Rattus norvegicus: one gene and its partners. The protein of the gene in region 1 purifies or fractionates together with the protein of each later gene. This does not show direct contact. Links are inferred from orthologs where the notes say so. Each region holds a gene or a part of one and is shown in the gene's direction. Other genes may lie near its edges.

What was found. Proteins that work in one complex are often made in the same cells at the same time.
Region 2: the proteins of Sin3b (region 1) and Arid4b purify together in Homo sapiens (affinity purification with mass spectrometry; 3 studies listed by BioGRID and IntAct, with this or other methods). This does not show direct contact. The link is inferred for Rattus norvegicus from reciprocal best matches to the Homo sapiens genes SIN3B and ARID4B.
Region 3: the proteins of Sin3b (region 1) and Sap130 purify together in Homo sapiens (affinity purification with mass spectrometry; 3 studies listed by BioGRID and IntAct, with this or other methods). This does not show direct contact. The link is inferred for Rattus norvegicus from reciprocal best matches to the Homo sapiens genes SIN3B and SAP130.

Annotation. Positions count from the first base shown.
Region 1 is NC_086034.1:17,188,610-17,196,917, reverse strand, and holds the start of Sin3b (paired amphipathic helix protein Sin3b), read left to right. Parts: upstream 1-2,866; 5' UTR 2,867-2,888; coding exon 2,889-2,987; intron 2,988-3,582; coding exon 3,583-3,689; intron 3,690-5,102; coding exon 5,103-5,256; intron 5,257-8,308.
Region 2 is NC_086035.1:55,831,996-55,839,320, reverse strand, and holds the end of Arid4b (AT-rich interactive domain-containing protein 4B), read left to right. Parts: intron 1-37; coding exon of another isoform or gene 38-52; coding exon 53-199; intron 200-3,615; coding exon 3,616-3,743; 3' UTR 3,744-5,413; downstream 5,414-7,325. UniProt on the Homo sapiens protein: Acts as a transcriptional repressor. May function in the assembly and/or enzymatic activity of the Sin3A corepressor complex or in mediating interactions between the complex and other regulatory complexes.
Region 3 is NC_086036.1:23,576,807-23,584,656, forward strand, and holds part of Sap130 (histone deacetylase complex subunit SAP130), read left to right. Parts: intron 1-3,668; coding exon 3,669-3,810; intron 3,811-6,494; coding exon 6,495-6,616; intron 6,617-7,850. UniProt on the Homo sapiens protein: Acts as a transcriptional repressor. May function in the assembly and/or enzymatic activity of the mSin3A corepressor complex or in mediating interactions between the complex and other regulatory complexes.

The DNA of each region.
Region 1 (8,308 bases):
GGACTTGCTTGTCTCTGGGAGCTAGCCGGGAGGCTTGATGCTCTCTTCTGCCACTGACCGGAAGGCTAACCCTTCTGTCAGGACTCTGAGGCTAGGCCTACCTGGTATCCTCTCCTTCCTCTTTGCTGGGGCTGAAGCTTGGAGATGGTGTCTCTGTACCCCAGGCTGACCTCAAACTAATGATTCTCCTGCCTCAGCTTCCAGAGTACTGGGGTGCAAGTGGGCATAACCATGACTAGCTTCTCTGTCTCTGTCTGTCTGTCTGTCTCCATCTGTCTGTCTGTCTGTCTGTCTGTCTCATCTGTATGTTTAGCCTCATGTTCATGAGATCATGTGCACTCATGTGAGTATTCACCTGGAGGTCACAAGTTAGCCTTAGGTGTCTACCTTGACCACTACATACCTCAGGGTCTCTTACTGTCCTTGGGTGTCTGTTGCTGTGATGAAACACCATGACAGGAGGCAGCATGCAGGTGGGGGGAGGTGTTTACTCCAGCTCACAGTTCGATATCATAACCCTTCACTGAGGGATGGCAGGACAAGGTGGGATCTGAAACAGACCATGGAGGGTGCTGCTTATGGCCTTGCTCCCCATGGCTTGCTCAGCCTGCTTTCTTAAACTCAGCAGGACCAGCAGCCCAGGATTGGCAGCACCCACACTGGGTTGGAGCCTCACATATCAACTATTAATCAAGAAAAGGCCCCTGCAGACTTGCCCGAGTCCAATTTGATGGAGGCATTTTCTTGGTTGAGGTTCTCTCTTCCCAAATGACAGAAAACTAACAGTTTTCAGTTGCTTAACCTAGCCAATGCAGTCATCCTGGCTGGCCAGCTTGCCCTAGGATTCTGTCACTACTGTTTAATCCCTGGCCACCATGCATGCCAGAAAATCAACTCTTTCAGGATCATAAGCACGTGTATAAAGCCCCATTACTTTTGACATCCCCAGTGACTGCTGGAGTTTGGATTTGGCTGGCATGTGCTGGGAGCATGTCTCACAGTGTGAGGGCACTGGCAGCCGGTGGAAGCTAAGGGGTGAGAGCTAGTTAGGTCCTTATGTTTTTGTTATTGTGTGCACATAGGTGTGCATGTGTGTATGGATGCATGTAGGGGCCGGAAGTACACATGAGGTAGTTTCCTCTATTGCTTTCTACCTTGTTTAAACTTAAAAGTGGTTTCATGAATATGTGAATGTTCGATTGGCATGGATCTCTGTGTACCATGTGGGCCTGGTGTCTGCAGAGGTCAATGAAGGTGTCAGATCTCCTGAAACTGGAGTTACAAGCAGTCGTGAGCCACCATGTAGGTATTGAGAACCAAGGATAGGTCCTCTGTGGGAGCAACAAGGGCTTTTAACCACAGACTCATTCCCCCAGCTCCTCTACCATACTTCCTATTTTTGAGAGGGGGCCTCTTCCTGGCATGGAAATGACCAGTTCAGCACTGCCCCAAAATCCTTCTTCTAACACCTGTCAAGTACTGGGCTTATAGGCAACATTATCATGCCCTGCCACAAATATACTTATGGGAGAGAACATTTTTATATGAAAATATAGGAAGAATTATGTATCTGATTAACTTTATCCACAAATAAATGCAGTATATTTCCTTGTTTTACATTTTAAAAACAGTAGCTGGGATGGACTTCCTTGTATATCTGTGTCTTAAAATAGCCCTATCTTCATTGACTTCTCTTTCTACAGGCCTATACAAACTTTTAAAACGGGGAAATTTGGAGGCAAGTATGGTGGCACCTGTGAAGGTAGGGTGACCACAAGATTGCAAGTTGGAGGGTAACCTGAGAAGGTCTCATTTAAAAAAAAAATAAAGGGTTGGAAATGTAGACCCGTAGAGCACTTGTCTAAAGTGGGCCCCAGTCCCAGCCCCGCAAAAATAAAGTCAGTCTGGAAGCAGAGGTCACATGGTCCAGGTTTGCACCCATCTGTGAACAGAATCAAGGAATGGAATTGTGAGAGGAGTTAGTGGATAAAGAGCTTGCTCTAAGCAAGCAGGAGGGTCCAGACTAGGGGCAGACCCATGACCACCATATAAAGTGGAGACAATGAGCTCCAGGTTCAGTAAGAGATCCTGCCCCCAAAACACAAGAGCTGGGAGGTCCATCTCTGGCCTCTGTACATATATATAGGAGTGAGTTTACTTACACATACAGACACACAGACACACAGACACACAGACACACAGACACACACACACACACATACAGACACACAGACACACAGACACACAGACACACACACACACACACACACACACACACACACACACACACACGCGTGCGCGCGCGCAAGAACTCAGTCCATGTGGCTCTTGAATGAATGCTGCTCACTTACAGTCCATCGCTATATTAACCCCACAGAAAGTTCAGAAACTTGTTCCAGAAAGAACCAGATCCTTACAAATATCACTATTGGGTCTTGGGTCAACACAGACATATACTTGTTTTCCCTCTCTTTTTAAGACAAGGTCAATACCTGTCGATTTTTAAAAGACATAGTCTTAACTATGTAGCCCAGTCTAGGTTAGAACTTTCAGTGATCCTCTCCCAGACTCCCTGGTACTGAGATCACAGGTGAGCCTGCACGCTGAAATGCGAATTTTATAGAATTAATGCGTTTTTAAAGATTCTTCAACTTTGCTTTACTTCCTTTTTCTCCAACAAAACGAAACAAAAAACACTTTTGGCTTTCCAGGTGGCCACAGACCCCCCAGGGCACATAGTTTGAGAATGATCACCTGCCTGTCCCGCAGGTCCCTCGAGCGGACACGCCCCATTGACGCCAGGAGTCTCCACCCCTAGGAGGCGGGGCTCGCGCAAGCGCGACCTGAGCTCAAGCGGAGGCGGGGCAGACGCGACTCTGACTTCCAACATGGCGCACGCAGGCGGTGGAGGCTCCGCGGGCCGGGGATTCGGTGGCTCCCGCTGGGGTCGTTCGGGCTCTGGGGGGCACGAGAAGCTGCCAGTGCACGTGAGTGATGTCCCTCGCCTCCTCCAGGGGATCCAGACCCCCGCGGGGATGGTGCCCCGCCGTGCGGCCCCGCCTTGGCCTCCCCTCTGCGCAGCCCGGGCCCGGGGATCCCACACCCCTTCCGCGGAATCCTTCGGTCTTTGGGGCGGCTCTTCGGTTTCCCCCTAACAACTCATTCCCGCCGCTCCTCAGACTTCTCAGAGATGCGGCGGTCTTTCTCGACATCCCTCAGTCATTCCTGCGGTCCCTGTCATCCCCGGGACCCTACGGTGCGCCCCGAAAATCCTTGGTCCTCTTAGTTGGCCCTTAGTTACTCTTGCCGCCCCTCGGTCTTCCAGGGGATTTCGTGACCTCCCCGAGACCCTTCGGTCTTCCCCGCCAGTCCTCGGTCCAATCCGGAACTCCTCGAGGCCCCTCGGGACTACCCGCTGGCTCTCGGTCCTCCCAATCAGCCGTCGGTCCTTCCCGGAACATCGCAGTTATCCTCGCGGCCCTCTGCTGCCCGGTGCCACCCCTTCTCTATCCCTGACCTTCCAGCCCTCAGTCTCTGCATCCCCCGACCCCTGCCCACCCATGGCCTTCTTGTTCCCTGCAGGTGGAGGATGCTCTCACCTACCTCGACCAGGTGAAGATCCGCTTTGGCAGTGACCCTGCCACCTACAACGGCTTCCTGGAGATCATGAAGGAGTTCAAAAGCCAGAGGTAATCTACAGGGCCTTGTACACCTAGGAGCAGTGGGCCGAGCATTCCAACCCCCAAACTAACTACACAGCTGGTGATCACGCACAGGATTGGAGGGCCCTGGGAGCCCCTTCACCAGATGAGGTAGTTCTGATGAACTGGTAGGGATTCCTGGAAGGAATAAAGGAATTAGGGAATTGAGGCCTGGACAGGGAGTGTTGGGTGTGTCTTTAAAATGTTGATTTGGGGTAGAGTAAATGTCTTAGTGGGTAACAGTGCCTACCACCAAGCCTGAGCACTGGGAGTTCCAGCCCCAGAGAGAAGAGAACTGACTCCTGTGAGTCGTCGACCTGCACTTGAGATCTGTGGTACACGCAGAAAATAAATGTGGTGGTACAGATTTTGATTGTTTGTTTTGGGCAGCGTCTTTTGTTAATACTGCAAGAAAATATTACTTAGGAGGGGTATGCACAATCTCTTTTTTAACTCTTGTCCCAAAGATGCTTTTCATAGCACTTACCAATCCGGAACCAGTGTGGTTATAAAGGAACTGTTTGTAGACACGTAGCAGTTAGGTGTATTGGTTGCCTCTGAGTTATGTGTATGTCTTCTAGAACCTTCTGGGAGGGGCGACTTGGTTTAGGTAAGGAACTTACTCTAGTGACAGGTGGGTGGAGCTAGAACCCAGACTGTCAGTCAGTGGACTTCCCCCAGATCCTGGTACTGACCTGCCTGTCTGCTTTCTGGATGTGTGGAAGGACTGGGCTGGTTTCTTGTGGACATTCAGGGTACTGAGGCCAGAAGAAGACACTTGTGTCATCCCAACTTTACCAGTCCCCCAACTTGAAGGCTCCAGTGTTTACACACTCCCTTTAGAAAAGAAATTAAAATGTATCCTCACCCATCTCTAACTCACAAAATATGAGGGAATTTCTCACATTGCTTGGAGAACTGTGTTGAGTCTCAGCCCAGCACCCAACTCGTGGGGACATTTTCAGAATTGGGCCCAGGCCTGGAGATACAGTTATGTAGTTATATACATCACGCATGCACATGTGTGCACACACACAAAACTATCATATATATATATACACACATATACACACATACACACACACACATATATATATATAATATATATATAGTTACAGTTACAGTTCTTGCTAGACCTAGTCACAGGTGGTCTCACATGGTGGGGCCCATTTATTTAGTGGGGCATGGTTGTGCAAACCTTTAATCTCAGGCAGAAGCAGGCATATGGAGGCCAGCCAGGGCTACACAGAGAAACCCTGTCTCCAAAGGAAAAAACAGAACAACGTGTTAGGGCCCATTTTCTTTGTCATCTATCCACTAAGCCTGGGCTGAGTTGATCTCGAGGGCACCTGGGCAGTTAACTCCCAGGATGCTTGCCCACTTGCATTTCTTTTTTTCCAGCATTGACACCCCCGGCGTGATTAGGCGTGTGTCCCAGCTCTTCCATGAGCACCCTGACCTCATCGTGGGGTTTAATGCTTTCCTTCCGCTTGGATACCGCATAGACATTCCCAAGAACGGCAAGTTGAACATCCAGTCACCTCTGAGCAACCAGGTAGGTTTCGCTTGAGTGATGTGGACCTCAAGAGTCGTACCCACAGGGACAGCTAGACATTTTTGATATTGCTGGCAGCCTTTGTACAGCCTGTTCTTTTTCTAGGTTCTCTAGTGTACGGCCAGACAGAAACACAGAGACAGCCTTTGCTGTCCCATCCAGTGTAATGGCTGGAGTGTGGGTCAGTGTGAGACAGTACACTCAGCGTGGGTTTAATCCCTAGCACTTGGGGCGGGCATGCAGGGAGGAGATGTCAGGGTCATTGAATCACTAGTAGCTGAGATCTGGTCTCCAGGGTTTCCCAACAAACCTACCAGGCCAAGTGTGCACTGGCCTCTTCGGCTTCCATTGTGTCAGTCCATCAGTAAGACCGAGGTGGTTGAGCTGTGTGCATGGGAATAACTGTTCCTCTCACTGTGTCATAGGATTACCAGACGCTCTTTTCTCAGCTCAGGCTTGGGCTCTGCAGCCTGCTGTCTGTAGTTCTCCACACTGCCACTCTCACCGTAGCTCAGAACCTCATCCTCATGCCTCAGTCTTTCAAGTGCTAGGATGACACGGGAGCCACCACAGGCTTTCTGTGAGGTTGGAGGGGACTCTGGGAAGGTGGTGTGGCCCCACAGGCCCTCCAAGCGGCTCCTGTGTAAGTTCTGTTGGCCCTGCCCATCACCCTGCCTCCTGCAGCCCCGCCCTGCCCAGTTTTCAGAGGGAACTCCTAGAAGCATGTGCCACTGAGATTCCAGCATCTTCCGTTTCACACCTGTACCTGGTACCCAGGAACTGCGACTGTCAGTGCCTTAACAGACAGAACTTCTGGACTCTGTGGCTGTGGACCAGGCAGTGTGAGCTGTGTCAAGAGAACGAGCAGTTCCTAGGGCGTGCATGATGTCAGAACTCAGGACCCCACTCACTAGAAAGCTAAGCTACAGGGAATGGGAGCTGGCCGGAAGTGGAGTTTGAGTCATGGGGGTGGACTGCTCCCTTCATAGGTGGCTTAGGTGACCAAGGAGCCCCTGTGACTTACAGAAAGGATGACCAAGACAGTCTTAGATCCAAGAACAGGGCACCTCTGCCTGTCCTGAGTCACATTCCCTTGGAGTACTCTGGAGCTGCTCCCTTAATCTTAGGGACAGCAAATGACCTGATAGTGCTCAATTGGGATTCTGACCCAGGTGTTTCTTGCTTTCTAACTTGGGGTTCCAAACTTTACACATCCCCACATGTCAGCACCGTGCTGATTTCTAATTTTCAGCCATTTTTCTATCTATGCTGTTTTTATTATTTGAGACGTGGTCTTTGTATCCCAGCCTGGCTCTGTAACTAGACAATCTCCTGCTTTAGTTTCCAGAGTGCTGGAATGATAGGCACCGTCGCAGCACCCAGCTTTAGAGTTTTGAAATGCAGCGTTCTTGTGTGCGTGTTTTCTCTCCCTCCCGCCCTCCCTTCCTCCCTCCCTCCCTCCTTTCCTCCTTCCTTCCCTCCTGCCGTCCCCCCCTCCCTCTCCTATCATTAGTTAGGTTTCACAGCCACATTTGAACACTCTTCCCATATGTTCTGACAAAGGTGTTGACGGAGTCCCCAGCTGTTGGGATGTGTGTGGCAGGCTCTTATTCTTTCTTGTGAGGAGTTCCGTATTCTAGCATGTGGTGTAGCACCCAGGGCCTCTGCCTTTTTAATGCAGGGACACCTATACCCTTGCTGAAAGCCAGGTAACAAGCACCAGGACCCCAGTTGACAACACAGGGTCAAGCAGAGCTGGGTGCTTTGATTCAAGGTGTCATTTCACACTCAGGAGATTTGCCATGAGTTCAAAGCCAAGCCTGGTCTACGGAGTAAGCCCTTATCTCATCTGCCTCCTGTGAAGGGAGGGCATAGATAACCATGCCTTGTCATAAGCAGGAGGCTTGGAGCACATTCACCTGCTGTTCTCCCTCAGGAAGCCTCAGCTTCTCCCGCTGTTGCCTCAGTGTCCCCACTGGCACTCACAGGTGGGAGGAGTGGATATTCCTTGTGTTGGTGCTGCCCTCCTGACCAAGCTCTTCAGGGGAAGCAGACCTTTACCTGCATCACTGAGCTGTTTTAGGGGAGGAGTAGGAAACCAGCTGTCAGTGGGCAAATGAGGATGGGACACCTAGCTCCTGGGGACAGTCAGAGTAGGTCCCTGGTCTTGCATACTCACAGGAAGCTGGTCCTTTACCACCCTCCGTGGGGAGGCTTGGTGATTTTTTTGACAAGGACAGGTAGTGTCTTGGGCCTGATGAATTCCAAACCACCACATCCTTGGACACTGGCCCTTTGTTTAATTTGGGGTTTGGGTGTAGGACTCCCAATGTTGATAGTAGGGACTTTGTGGGAGCTGGACCCACATAGGGAAGGACCTTGGAGGGATGGGGCCATTAGGAGGGTTGTCTGTAAAATAGAGTAGGGCTGGAGGGAAGCTGAGAGGCAGGCGTACGGGACACTGCATGGCCAGGAATCAGCTAATCCAGAACCCCTGAGAGGTTGGGGAGGACAGTGAGGGGATCAGTGAGGTAAGATGTGCCAATGGTTCTGACTGGCCCTTCTGGTAGAGCCAGAGGCCACGGGGCCCTGGTAACTATGGCTGGCTGTTGGCTCATTTAGGTTCCTGAATATCCAGGAGAGCTGCATGGTTCTGGGCAAGTGTGAGGCTGTGTGAGTGTTAGCTGTGTAAACAAGTTACCCTACGTGCAGGCAGGGAAAAGGATGGAGCTATTGTAGAAAGTTCCAGCAGGGCTTGTCTTGCTACAGCTTGTAGGCTGTGTAGTGGTGGTTTTTATATTTTCCTAAGATCACAATAGAAAGTTGTATTATGGTTGTACAAGTATCACTACTAATTCCAGAACATTCTGTCACCCTCGGAACAGACCCTGCCAAGCACTCATCTATTTCTTGAATGTACGTTACCCCGTCTGGCCATTTTCTCAGACACTCACATCATAGTGTGTCAGTGTTTCTTTTCTTGCCTCAGAAATGTCCCACTGGGTGAACTACGTTTCACTTGTCTGGGGATTTTGAGTTTTTCCTCCTTTTC
Region 2 (7,325 bases), on another chromosome or scaffold:
TTTTATTAACTTATTCTCAAAATACATATTAATGAAGCTTTCAAATTGACAGCGGACCTGGAAAATATGACAAGTGCTGAACGTATCTCAATTCTTCAAGAAAAATTGCAAGAAATCAGAAAACATTATCTCTCATTAAAATCCGAAGTAGCATCCATTGATAGGAGGAGAAAACGTTTAAAGAAGAAAGAGAGAGAAAGTAAGTACTTTTTCCTTAAACATAAGTCAGTTTATTACACAGCCTCATCTGTTACGGCATCACAGTGCCCACTGACAGAGTATATATACCCTTAGTATAAAGGAGAATAGGGGTGTTAGGGCCTTCACTGAGTGACAAGTGGCTATAGACCTAGCATTAGGGAGGCAGGGACAGCAAGAGTGGGAGGCCAGGTCAGTTCCAGCTACATAGTAAGATTGTCAAAAAAAAAGTTTAGCATAATGCACAGATCATACGATCTTTTGATTTGTGCATGCTCATTCAACAGATTCTATGTTTGCATTTTTGTGTCTGGTATTATTGTAATGACTTCGTTTTAAAGAATACTTTGACAGATAACCACACATCTAATGGGCACAGTATGGTCTTTCAGTACATCCATACTTGGGGAGTGATTAGGACTTTTAGGTTGTCTATCTTCTCTTTGTTATAACAGCATTCAAAGTCCCATCTTGCAGGTATTCTGAATTAAATAGTATTATTGACTGCCATCACACTAAAAGATATTGCTCCCATCTGGTCCTGATGTTGTGTCCTGATGAGGCATGAATTTCCGTTCCTCTCTACTTTCCTAGGCACTGTAAATGCTGTCCTTTCTACATAATGTAGTAGTGTTGCTTATAATTTTTGAGGGACCTCCATGTTGTTTTCTGTGGTGGTAATAGTTGACATTCCTTCTAACAGTATGACTTGTAATTATTTCCCATTGGTAGTTTTGGTGCATGACTCAGTTCACACCAGAAGTCCCTGACAGATGTCCTTGAGATAGAATTCCTTAAATGTGACCTTGTTGGCTTTTGAGCTTGATAGCTGTTCTCTATGTAGCAGCTTTTCTAGCTGCCATCCCACATGCCAGTGGCACAGCATGTTAATGCTTCTAGACACTGTCAGGTATGCATAGGATGAAGGAGTGGTAGAATGACCCCAAATTAGGTAGGAACCACTGCTCTGAAGTGAGAGTATACTTGGTTCTTTTCCACACCAGAATGAAAACCATTGTGGTGTGAAAGTAGTAGAGATTTGAGTCAGGTAAACAGAGGGCAAGACATGTGGGACTGTGTAGGATAGAGTGAGGGGTTGCAGTTTTATTCTGAGGAGAGAGAGTGCTGTTAGAAGCGTTTACACAGGGAAATGACATGCTGGGTGGCACATAGACTAGGAGCAGCAATGGAAGCAGGGAGTGAGGGAAGCCTGCTCCATTAGTTCATAGTATTGAAGCCATGCGCAATCAAGATGGGAATCAGTTAATGTTGAATTAGCAACATTGCTGATGGAAAATATTTAATTGCATATTCAAGCCAATGAAAATAAAGCAGACATTAAGTTTTTGTATTCGTATCTAGGTGTGGTGGCACACACTTGTAATTCCAACACTTGGAAGGTAAAATAAAATCAGGAGAAATACCATTTTTGGCTAAATGGTGGATTTGGGGCTAGCCTGTGTTGCTTAAGACCCTGTCTTAAATAAAATTGTATTTGTTATGTACAAAATATTACATTGTTGGTAACAACAAAAGCTTAGAAATTAAAGAAGTTCTCATTCATAAATATAGTATACTACTATTTAACTTTGAGAAGAAAAGGCAATAGAGCTGATGTGGATGATCTTGCACTATGGTGCTGGCCCATACTGCAGCCCTCAAGAAGCAGGGGCAGGACAGTGTTTGCAAAAGTTCAAGGTCAGGTTAGTCAGGGCTATATAGTGAGACCCTGTCTCATAGCCTAAATCAAAGTAAAAGCAAGAGAGTGTACACTGTATGACACTGCACAATATTTACTCTTTCCTTCCACCTGTGTTTGTGTGTTTGCTTGTGCGTGGAGGCCACAGACAACCTCAGATACCTTATTTTTAAGACAGCACCTTTCATTTGCCTGGACCTTGCTCATAGGCTAAACTGGCTGGCCACCAGGCCCTACTTTTTTATATAGGTTCTAGAGATGGAACTGGGTCTCTACAGTCATTCCAGTGACTGGGCTTCTTCCCCAGCTCCTCCCTGTGTTTTAATAAGTGCTGTTAAATTAGGAAGTATAAGTTCCCATTTCGAGATTCTAGGATGAAATTCTTTTAGAACATGAGTTGTAGATGTTGTCTCTAGAGACATGGTGACTATTTGAGGACCACTATAGTCTCTACAGAAACTGTTTGGCTCTGGTAGTCCAGAGTCTCTGAAATGCAGAAATAAGTGTGTGGTTATGGATCATTGCAACCGTCTTTATCAAAGATTAGGCCTTACAGTAATACTTTCATCCAAAGTTTTAAACATTGGACAACTAGGGACAGGAAGGGGAGCATTTGGGCAAATAGAGCTCTGGTAACAAATTTGCTTCTCCAACTTACTCCCATGTATGGGACAAAAACTTTCTTTTACATTTTGTGTGTGTGTGTGTGTGTGTGTGTGTGTGTGTGTGTGTGTGTGTGTATGTACACGTACGTATGTATGTAGGCACGTACACATACATATGTGCATCTCTACCACAATGTACATCTAGAGGTCAGAGGACAACTTTTGGAGGTGAGTTCTTTCTTTCCACCTTGTGGATCTCAGATATACATTCAGACTGGACAGGCTTGGTGGCAGGTGCCTTTATCCATAGAGCTGTCTCACTGGGTCTTTACTTCCTTCTTATTTGTGTATGTAGGTATTATCTTAAAACATTCCATTCCGTGTGTTGATATAATGATTCTGTTGAGGAAAACAGTATATTATAAACACTGGGAGGTCGTACAGATGGTTAGCTTTTCACCTGAACCACCCATTCTGTTTAAACTTGGAAACAAAATCATTTATTGTCTGAGTGCAGTGTGCACAAGAAGAAACATCATGGAGTCATTTCTTCTCTTCCACCTTGTAGCTTCTGGGAGTTCAGCTCAGGTTGTTAGGCTACAGAGGCAAGCAGTGTATACCTGTAAGCTGTCTCTGAGGTCTCAAAGTTTATTGGAGAAGTGGTACAGAAATGTGGTATTAGAAAAGTAGCAGAAATGACAGACATTTTTCCTGTTTTCATTCAAAACTGGGTGGGTATTTAGTGAACAAAGTTATTCTTTAATTTTGTATTCTACAGTGTGGATACACAATTCCTTTCCTCCCTCTTTCCTTTCCACCTTGCTTCTTTTTTCTTTGGCAGGGCTAGGAACAGAACTAATGGCCTTGTAGTCCAAGCAAGTACATTGTCACTGAGCTCTAAATACTGTACCATCTGCGTTCTACAGATGGGCAACAGTCTGCTGCTTAGATACATGGACTTTCCCCTTCTTTACACTATGGTACTTTGAGCAGGGATGGCTCCTAAACGCTGAATTTGGAGAACACAAAAGAAGTTTAGGCTGAAGATGAGCTTTTGCTTCTTCCCAGTGTAGCCTGCCTTGTAGCCTCACATGTGTTCTTCCTTTTCCTCAGGTGCTGCTACATCTTCCTCCTCCTCCTCTCCCTCATCCAGCTCCATAACAGCTGCTGTTATGTTGACACTAGCTGAGCCGTCAATGTCCAGTGCATCACAGAATGGAATGTCAGTTGAGTGCAGGTGACAGCAGGACTTGCTAGAGCACTTTGCACTTAATGGCTGTTGAGGGCCACATCTTTTTTTATACTGCACAGTGGCACACAAACACACAAAATCAGACAAGCACTATTTTATATTTAAAAATTATTTCTTGACAAGCTGACTTGGCACTTAAGTGCACTTTTTTTATGAAGAAAAAGTACAACGAACTGCTTTTCCTCAAGCAATAATTGTTTCCAACTTGTCTGGGAATTGCGTGTCTGGTAACTCGAAGGCCTTCCACTGTGGCAGAGGAGGCTTTTCACTGCCTGTGAAGATGATGCAGTAGGTGGAGAAAAGGTGGGCCAGAACATGTGAGATGACTTACTGTATATGTATTCCCTTGTATTTTGTTAAAGCTGGAACATTTGATATTTTTCCATTCATTTATTAAAAATATGAACCTATTTTCATTTGTACAAGCTAATTGTTTTTTAAAGCAAGTCACCTTATGGTGACTTTAATTGTATAAGTCAAGCACATGTAACAAATTCAAAACCTGCAGTTAACAGGATATTATTAGATTTCATCCTGGTAACCAAATATTGAAGATTCTCTTTAAAAATGACTGAACATGTTTACAGGTTTGAATTAGGCTAAAAGGTATGTGGTGGCTTTTCACACCCCTTAAATTGAAATGGGACTACTGTACTTTGCCATTTTTCTATAAATCAGTATTTTTTTTTAATTTTGATATAATACATTGTGTGAAAAAAGAAAATGGCTAATAAACTGTATTAAATCTTAAACAATGTATAAAGATTGTACTTAGCCAGTTCAAAGTGTATATTTATTCATAATGAATTATAACAGTTATATTTTTGTGTTTTCTTGTAAATGTTTCTTTTCCCTTAAATGCAGATAATTCATTTGTATTGCTTATTTTATTATGAGCTTACAACAAAAAGAATTCAGGAACAAACTGTTAGAATGGTTCAAGGCTGTTTCTATGACCTGCCTCACAAAGATGATTGTTATTTTACGTATACGTAGCTAATTGGGTAGTAGGCCTATACAATTAAATGCCTTGTATAAACTGCAAAATGAACGCCAAGCTGTTTTCACTTGTATTGACTTTATGTTGTGTGATTCCAATCTCTGTTTGGCACTTGTATTTAATTCCCCACCTTTGTAATACATTTGTATATTGCGGATGTGTTCATTGAAGCTATTTAAAACCTGGCGCTGTTAAATACACAGTACTTCACTGTACAGACTGTTTTACTGTTTTAATTGTGGTTCTGTGTGCTTTTCTTTTCTTTTCTTTCTTTTTTTCTTCCTTTTTTTTTTTTTTTTTGAATGAGGCTGGCATGTTTTATTTGTTTTCTGGCAATACATGTGAGAATTTTGAAGCGTTTTGTTGTGGATGCTAACGTGTCAGAATCCTTAATCCTTTACATTGAACCTTTCTAAGAAAAGCATTTTCAGTCTTGTAATGTGTGCTTACAGTAACTAATTTTGTTGAAAAATGGTTTCAAGTTACTCAAATTTGTACAGACTGTAAAGATTTGTTGACAGCAAAATGTTGAAGAAAAACTAATAGAATAAAACTATAAAGTATATATTAGGATCTGCAAACATGATGAATTATGTAATATATTGTACAAATGTAAGCAGAAGCTCTGAAATAAAATGCCATAGTTTGTGAATCCTTGATTTTGTTTGTAGCAGGTTAAGTAATTTTAGTTCACCTTGTATGTGATGACTGCTGAGAATATGTACATGCTGCAGCCTGCATTATCACAAGGACACATCAGTGTCCCAAAGGCAGTGCTCTGCTTTTAAACCTTAAAGCCCCTTCACAGCTGGTTGTACAGCATGGAGTTAGTGTGCCCCAGGCCCTTGGCTTCAGTTCCCAACACTACACCAAATCAAACCTGTCCAAAAAAAAAAAAAAAAAACAAACCTTAAGTAAATTGTTTTTTTTTTTAAGGTTGTTATTATCTTTCTCTACATTACTTTGCTAGAGTGTAAATACAAATCTTTTTGTTACGATTTGGGGGGTTGTCCAAAGAAGGAAATAATTAAGTACAACTTTAAAACTGTATTTGGGGGCTAGCAAGATGCTCAGAGGTAAGCACTGATGACCAACCTTGGTTTGTGAATCCCTGGAACCCCAATAGTAGAAGGAAGACTGTCCTCTGCATTCACACACAGAGAATACACAAATATAAAAAGATGTTTCTGCAGTATATGATTGCCCGCACCTGTAATCCCACCCTCACGAGGTTGAGGCAGTGATCTTGGGTATAGACCAAGACTCAATAAACATAAACCTTCTTTTTCCTTTTTCTTGGGAATAAAATTGCTATATTGTCCAACCTGGCTTCAATTTCACAGATTCTCATTATGACGGAGCCGTTCTGGCTCTGCTTTGAGTAACCCCTCTGTGCCTGTTACAGGAATCCAGTAATCATGGTTAAACCAGCCAGTGTGCTTCTCCCCATTTCCAGGGTGCTCCAATTCACCTGATATATTATGTATGATCTTTTAAAAAATACTGCAACAATTTAATCTGTCATCTGTAGCCCTCAACTCAGATTTACCTCCTCTACCTCCTAAGTGTGGCGTTAGAGGTGCGTCGTCCTCTACTAAGCAACTTCAAGAGGAACTTGTTTGCTCCCACATGTTCATTGTGGCATTTAAGGAGGAAGGAGGTGGAAGAGCTGGCCTCATAGTCTGTAGAGGGTCTTGAAAGCCATCTAACAAGTCTGCTATATCAGTCACCTCAGTCAGTGAGGGGTTTCAATATCAAAAATGTGCTGTCACTTGAGAGGAAGCCGGTGGTGACACAAATGCACTGCTGTTGCAGTCAGAGCCCAGGAATGTTCAAGACTCCATAGCTTACCTTTCTCATCTTAACAACGGTAAGAAAGCAAGGACCCCCTCAGCTGAGTGCCGCATGGCCCTTGTCATTTTCTGTACACCTTTTCCCAGCAGCACGGAATGCTGTTGGCTGACACAGCAGAGCTGGGTTCTAGGCCAGACATGGCCCTTGCTTTTGAAGACACATGCCTGAAGATATAGGGCGGTTAACCTTGCATCTGATTTAGCCTTATTGTACATGCAACTGACCCCTGTACCTAATACTCTTGAGCGTCACCACATCTAAATCAAAGTTGAGGCATGAGAATAGGTCTGAACCGGCCAGGAGGAATGCACACGTTCTACTGTAGTTTGGTCATTCAAATGTCAGTTCAAGTTCACCTACAGCTTAGCATAAGGAGATGATTTGGACTTCTTGTACACCCAAGTCCAGATTTCCTTAATAGGCTCAGGACAACAGGACAAACTGGTGACCTGAACCATCAGTTCCCCACCTCCTAAGTACTGATCAGCCACACACTACTTGGATAATGGAGTCTCAACAGAAGGGCAAGGCCCCATCTTGGAAGTGACTGGAACTTGGGGCCAGAGGGAATGTTATGACTGACTAGTGGGAGTCCAGAAGTGAAGACTGCACTGAGGCCATTCAAGGAAGCTCAGGTCTAAGCTTTGCTTTGGGAAGGAAGGTGCACAAGAGGAAAAAAGGGCCTGGAGTGGGGGTGGGGGTGAGTGGTGTGTGATG
Region 3 (7,850 bases), on another chromosome or scaffold:
TCTGATGGTTTCCTCTTAGTTTCTGTTCAGATGACATATCTATTGAGGAACATGGCTATTGAAATCAATCACTTTGTATCAGTGAATGATGTTGGTCTGTGTCTTTAATTCCAGTAGTAGACTTTCTAAGAAACTGGATCCCCCAGAGTTTGGTGCATTAGGTTTAGAATAGTAATGCCCTCTTGGTTAACTGGTCCCTGGACTAGGATGAAGTGCACTTCTTTATCTCTTCTGATAAGTGTTGTATTGATGTCTGTTTTGTCAAGATACTAGGATTCCTGCTGTGTCCCCTTCTAGTTGATAGGAGTACAGTTGTCCATCCTTCACTCTACAGCAATGCCTACCTTCAAAGCCATACTTCTTATAGACACTAGATCAATGAATTGTTTCTTGATCAGTTCAGGCAGTGTCTTTTGATTGGAGAATTTAGTCCATTAATATATAAAGTTATTATTGAAAGGTGTATGTTGATTGTACGTGTGTTTTTATTATTTTTTGATGGTGCTGTTCTTTATCACAGGCAGCTGTGGCAGACAGTTTGCTGGGTAATTAGTGTAGGTTAGCAGTCTCTCAGGACGTTGGTAGTTAGTGTAGGTTAGCAATCTCTCAGGACGTGGTAGTTAGTGTAGGTTAGCAGTCTCTCAGGACGTGGTAGTTAGTGTAGGTTAGCAGTCTCTCAGGACGTGGTAGTTAGTGTAGGTTAGCAGTCTCTCAGGATGTGGTAGTTAGTGTAGGTTAGCAGTCTCTCAGGACGTGGTAGTTAGTGTAGGTTAGCAGTCTCTCAGGATGTGGTAGTTAGTGTAGGTTAGCAGTCTCTCAGGACGTGGTAGTTAGTGTAGGTTAGCAGTCTCTCAGGACGTGGTAGTTAGTGTAGGTTAGCAGTCTCTCAGGATGTGGTAGTTAGTGTAGGTTAGCAGTCTCTCAGGACGTGGTAGTTAGTGTAGGTTAGCAGTCTCTCAGGATGTGGAATGCATGGCTTTAGGCTCTTCCGGCTTCAGAGTTTCCACTGAGAAATCAGCTGGTATTCTGATGGATTTTTTTTTTACATGTGACTTGTGTTTTGTTTTGTTTTCTCTTGCACCTTTCATTACTCTCTCTCTCTTTGTTCTCTCCCTTGGTGGCTTGACTAGGATGTTCTGTTGGGATGTTCTTTTCTGGTCTTGTTTGTTTGTCTCGTATGCGCTTATATCTGTTTGGGTGTGACCTTCTTTAGTTTGAGACATTTTCTTCAGTGGTCTTCTTGGCCATTGGTCTGTGTCATTGACCTGGGATTCTTGCCCTTGTCTCTTCTCTAACTCAGACCTTGGTCTTTTCATGATATCCCACGTTTCCTGTGTGTTCCTTTCCTGGTTTGTTTTGTTTTCATATTCTTTGCTTATTTCTCTAGTTCCTCTTACTTTGTCTTCAGGTCCTGATATTCTGCTTGCTTGGTTCTCCGTGTAAGACTTTGCTTGCGTTGCCTGTTAGACTGGTAGGGATTTCCAGTTCTAGCTTCATCTCGCCTGGAGTTGCCATGTTTCTGTTTATTGAATTCAGTTTTCAAATGATGTATTTTCTGTCATTTCCATCAGCCTTGTGTTTGTGTCTCCTTGGGCACCATTCAGGCATTTTATTCTCTTTAAAGTCATTGAGCTGCTTTACATTCTTTAAACTTTTTAATTTCTTTGATGATGTTTTTTTTGTTTTTTTTTTTTTTAAGATTTTGTTTATTTCATGTATATGAATACACTGTAGCTGTCTTCAGACACACCAGAAGAGGGCATCGGATCCCTGTTACAGATGGTTGTGAGCCACCATGTGGTTGCTGGGATTTGAACTCAGGACCTCTGGAAGAGCAGTCAGTGCTCTTAACCGCTGAGCCATCTCTCCAGCCCGATGATGTTTTTTATTGTTTTATTTTTTTGTTTTTTTTTTTTTAATTCTGGGCCTCATCTTCAGGCAGTCCTCTTTGGGACCATTATTATAGGACTGATGAGTCTGGGGTAGATACTACCTTGACCGTTTATATTGTTTATATTTTTAGGATGAGATCTAGGTATATGGACTTCTTTAATTACTTCTATTCGATATGAGCAGAGTAGGTTGGGGCAGAACCTAGGATGTGCAGGCCAGGTTAGGCCTTGAGGTTGGACATGGCTTAAGTGGAATGAAGTTAGGCAGACATGGGAACCTGGGCTGGCATACATGGTGCATGTCCTGGTGTAAGCCTGGATTTGGGGGTAGATCAGGCAGTTGGAGAGGGTGCTTGCACAGGACAGGCACTGGGCCCTGGTGAAGGATGTGCAGGATCTGACTGGAAAGAACGGTGGGATGTGTCTTGAGAAGGGTCTGTAGGTTGTAGCCAGGTGGGGCTGGGAGAACTTGTAGAAGCCTAGAGGCAGGGGTGGCAAGACACTAGATGTGGGACCCAGCTCTGTTTTGGGGACTTGGAGAGCATGCATGGAGGGGAGGATCAGGCCAACCCTGGGAAGGATTGCCCCGTTACTATTGATTAAAGAATTACTTGCTTTGTGTGTGTATGTTTGCTGAGTTGTATGTATATGTACCACTTGCATGCATGGTGCCCACAAAGACCAGACAAGAATGTTGACCCTCATGCGGTTGGATTAGCAGTGGTTGTGAGCCACCGCATGGGGGCTCTTTAAGTGCTCAGCCAGCCGCCTCCACCTCTCGACTTTGACTTTTAATATTAACTTGCCCTTTATGTTTGGCATTAAGAAGTAGAGGCAAACTAAATGACAGTCTCCCGAGTACGCAGACTTTCTTGGACTTGACTAATTATTCTGTATGTCTATATGACAACAGGAGATACCTGGGGAGAGTAAGTTCCCTTTTGTCACCACGTGGGTGGGTCCCAAAGATCAAGCTCAGGTTGCCAAACTTCCAGACAAGTGCCCTCACCACTGGACCATCTCACCAACCCAGATTTGACTTTAAATCAAGCTGTACTTGAATGTACCCTGTATAGTAAGAAATTGAAGTTAACTTTGCTGACGCAGTTAGAAACATAACTCAAAGTCTGAACTGAGGAGAACTTAAACTTTGGAGAAATTTGGTAGACTGTAAGGTGAAATCCAACAGGAAGCAGTAGGGAGGATCGAACAGTTGATCACCTCATTCATGTGAGTGCTGTCCCAAGGTGCTTCATGACTATCTTCTAGTTTCTTCTAAAATCATTGCCATTTTATATCAAAATATTATGCTGAGAGGTGTGTGTGTGTGTGTGTGTACGTGTGTACGTGTGTACACATACACGCGCGCATGTACATAAGTAGTTGTGGAGACTAGAACAGTTGTTTCATGAGAACTGTCCACCTTATATTTTGACCAGGGTCTCTTACTCACCTGGAACTTGCCAATTAGGCTAGGTTTGCTGGCCCGTGAGCCCCAGGCATCTCCTGGTTTTTATCTTCCAAGGGAAGACTATCTCCATCCCTCAGGTTCACGCCACCATGCTCATTTTTCATACTAATTCTAGAGATGCTCTTGCGTGCACATCAGTGAATTTCTTAAACCTCTAATTAGTTCAATCTTGGGATCCCCAAAAAGCCAGGCTGCAAGTAAAAGGCCTGGTTGGTGAAGGCAAACTGTAGGCATTTATAAGGATTCTACTCACATGTCCAGCTTGCCCGTGAGTAGTAATGGAATTGATGCTTTATTGTCGTTAGCTAAGGTGGTGCCCCAGCAGATCACACACACTTCCCCTCGGATCCAGCCTGATTACCCTTCCGAGAGGAGCAGCCTGATCCCCATTTCCGGCCATCGGGCCTCTCCAAATCCTGTGGCCATGGAAACCCGAAATGACAACAGGTAGGAGGCAATGTCTCAGTCGCCCTCATCTTTCATGATATTGTCTTTGCTTTCCCCTCTGAAAATAATACACTATTGGATTTCTATTTTAGTGTTATAAAGTGCACAATTGTTATCAAGCCATTATTCTTCTGGTGGGTATTCTCCTAGTATCCATTTCTTGGTTGTGTTAAGTTTTGTTTTGTTTCTGGGTTTGGTGTTTTGTTTTTTAACCATTTTTAGAATATGGGTTGCGGGATCACAACCTTTCTCCATAAGTACTTATATCTGTTTCTCTTAGGCGCAGTATATTGTAAGCAATTACGGAGAGTTGAAATGATCGTATAGCCATCAGTTCTCTTTTCTACACCTTCATTGTAGCATTGACAGCCCAGTTACATTGTACAGTAGCAGTTTGTGGTTTTGTCGTATTGTGTCCTCACCATTAGATTGCGGCTGTGCATTTTTGGAATGGTTCATTCTCACCATTACAAAGCACATGCTGGCTATAGTCCTGTGGTTGCCAGGTTATTATAGTTAGTAAATGAGGGTGGAGGTGTTCATCGGTCATTTTCTAGTCTGGAGGGGGGTGTGTGGGGGATCAAATCTCTGTGAGTCTGAGACCAGCTTGGTCTACATAAAGAATTCCAGGACAGCCAGGAAGACAGTGAAACCCTGTGTCAATGACAACAACTTTGAAGCTATGACTTTTTATTCAATCATTGTATTTTCTGGTAATTCATGGCTGAATTAGTTACAGTATTTGCAAAGGACTGACTTTTCTGTTGCTTCTTCCATATCATGATTGGCTTTCTGAGGTGAAGAGACTTTCCTGTATATATTTATGTATTTGAGTTTTGTTTGACTTTGAATGTCAGAGCCTATGAATTTAGTTTTGTTAACTAGCAGGCAAGGGACTTAATTTCAGTCATTGCTGCCTTTTATTTGGAGTTAAGATGGACTCCTTTGGGATAACCTCAAGACCACACTTGTGGGATTCACCATCTCCCTTCCTCTCTAGCCCTTCCTTTATTTCCCACAACACATATCCATTGAGCCCAGGAGTCTGTTGTTTTCCAGGGGCCTTGGATCCTTTGGAGAGCTGCATTTCAACCTTTGCTTGGCTCTGGCTATAGATTGTTGGTCCTCCATGCCTTTGCTGCAGGCAAAGGTCAGAAGCGAGTGACATTTGAAGACATGCTGACACTTCAGTTCACCCCTGTCCCATATCTGTATTCCTTTCCCCACAGTGTCAGTCTTTTAGAAATATTTATGGTTTTACTTAATATTTTACTTTATATGTCCATCTACCAAGCTACATGTTCTTATTAGCTCTAAACTCTATATATTCTCTTAGATTCCCAATGCAAGCATTCACATTTCATCTACAAATAGGCAGGACCATTGTTTGTTCACTTGTTGCATATAGACAGCATCTTTTCATTTGCATTTATTTTAGGAAGTAGCCAGAGTTCTCAGTATGATGTTAGCGGGATGGCTCAGCAGTTAGGGGCTGGCTGCTCTTCAGAGGATCTGAGTTCAGTTCCTAGCACCCACATGGCAGCCTGCAACCATCTCTAACTGCACTTCCAGGGAATCTTAACCCACTCTGGCCTTCAAGGCCACTGTATGCACATGGCACACATACATACATGCAGACCGAACATCCATACACATGAAGTAAATAACAAAATTAAAGTACAGTGGTAGGGGAGATGGCGAGCCTCCTTGTCTTATCCCTGCCTTAAGTGGAATCTTTGATAGATTCCATTCCATCCTGTCTACAGTGTGATGAATAGAAGTTCTCTTTCTATTTTAAGCCTTTAGTTCTTGAAGGGTGTGCTGCGGATATTTTTTCTGTTTTTGTAAATTTTTAAACTGCTTCAAATAGTTGCTTTCTTTGGGTTTTTGTAAATATGTAAAGCATGAATAGCAAATGGGACTGAGTTATTATTTTCTTCCTGTGATTGTAATGGACTTGTTTCTCTGCATAATTCAAATTTGTGTACAATTCTTCGGTCTAAGTATAGAGTAAAATTTGTTGTCTTTTCTGACCATTTTTGGTATCAAGAAAGTATTCAGATCAGAAAAACAAAGTAAATCTCATTTTCTTATTTTCTGGTCTCTGAATTAGTTTTTATAAATTAGAGGGGTTTTTTTTTATGCATGTTAGATTAAATTTTCCAACAATAGCAATATAACTGTGTATCAAGTGGAATAGTTCATTGGCTGCTTGATTGGCTAGAGAAGGGATCTTTAGTATAGTGTAAGTACCCATAGTCATCTCAAACTCTGGGACTCAAATGAACTTCCCATCTCCTGGGCTTTTGTCACTTCTTTTGGTTATTGTCTTAGAAAACATCCTTAAAGTCTTAAAAAAGTCATCTGTGGGGGTTGGGGATTTAGCTCAGTGGTAGAGCGCTTACCTAGGAAGCGCAAGGCCCTGGGTTCGGTCCCCAGCTCTGAAAAAAAAAGAACAAAAAAAAAAAAAAAAAGTCATCTGTGGAGCCTGTTGTAACATTAACTGACGTGTACTAATAGCAACCATGTACTGCTTTCTGGTTCTTGGTTTTGTCCTTTGATGTAAAGTTGGGACACAGTTGGGAGACTGTAGTGCTGTGCACTGTGACAAGGGGGTCTGGGGCATGGGGTCCTTTGCATGAAGAGACTGACTTTGTTCCGTGCAATCTGTGCTGTATTTCTAGACCTTCGGTTCCTGTTCAGTTCCAGTACTTCCTGCCAACCTACCCGCCCTCTGCCTACCCGCTGGCTGCCCACACCTACACCCCTATCACCAGTTCTGTGTCCACTATCCGGCAGTACCCAGGTACGAGCGGCCACTGAAAATCACTTTTGCATGTTGTCACTTTTGTCAGCAACGAGAAAGAAGCTGATCAGAGGGCTGGAGAGACGGCTCAGCGGTTAAGAGCACTGACTGCTCTTCCAGAGGTCCTGAGTTCAAATCCCAGCAACCACATGGTGGCTCACAACCATCTGTAATGGGATCTGATGCCCTCTTCTGGTGTGTCTGAAGACATCGACAGTGCAATCACTCACATTAAATAAATAAATAATTCTTTAAGGGAAAAAAAAAGAAACTGATCAGAGTATCTCAGTAAGATTCTAGCTTCCTGCCAGATTCAGATCATGTAAGACTGTAAGCGCCTTTAATCAACATGTTTATGATCTATGAAGGGTGGTTTCTTACTTGTGATATTTGAATAGTTTTAGCCTACCCTGAGAATAATCATGTGACTTAAAATGATATAATTTCTGAATGAAGCTGTATTCTACAGGTTAGTTTTAAGTCTTGGTATGTTTTAATTTACCAACCTGATTTGTAAATGCTAATTTATCAAATAATCCAGGAAAAATAAGTGTGGATTTTTTTGTTTTGGGTTTTGATTTTTTTGGGAGAGGAGGGGTTGTTTTTTGGTATTTTGGCTTTCGGTTTTTTGAGTTAGGGTTTCTCTTTATAACAGACCTGGCTGTCTAGAACTCCCAGGTCATCTTTAGTAGACCAGGCTACCCTTGAACTCACAGAGATCTGTCTGCCTGTGCCTTCAGAATACTAGGATTAAAGGTGTGCCCCACCATGCCTAGCAAAGTTTTTTTTTCATTTTTTGTAATGTTTATTTATGTGTAAATATATACACATGTGTTTGAGTGTCTAGAGAAGTCAAAGTGTGTCAGATTCCTTTGAGCTGGCGTTACCAGCATTTGTAAGTAGCACAAGCATGAGCGATGGAGCAGGAAGCACTAACTCTTAACTGCTAAACCAACTCTGTCCCTAGAAAACATTCCTAGCTTTTGAGTTTGTATAACTTTTTCCCTAGATCTCAGACAGCCTTGTCCAGAGTGAGCCAAGTGTGGGGCTATTTTATAGATGATAGAATCCCAGCACATACAAAGCTGAGGCAGGAGGATCACACATTCAAGATTAGCCTGGGTCACATAGCAGCTTCCAGGCCTACCTGTGTTGCTCTGCATGACCCAGTCCCCCACCACCCAACCCCACCCCATAAAAAATTTCGGGATGAGGATGTGGCTCAGTTGGTGGG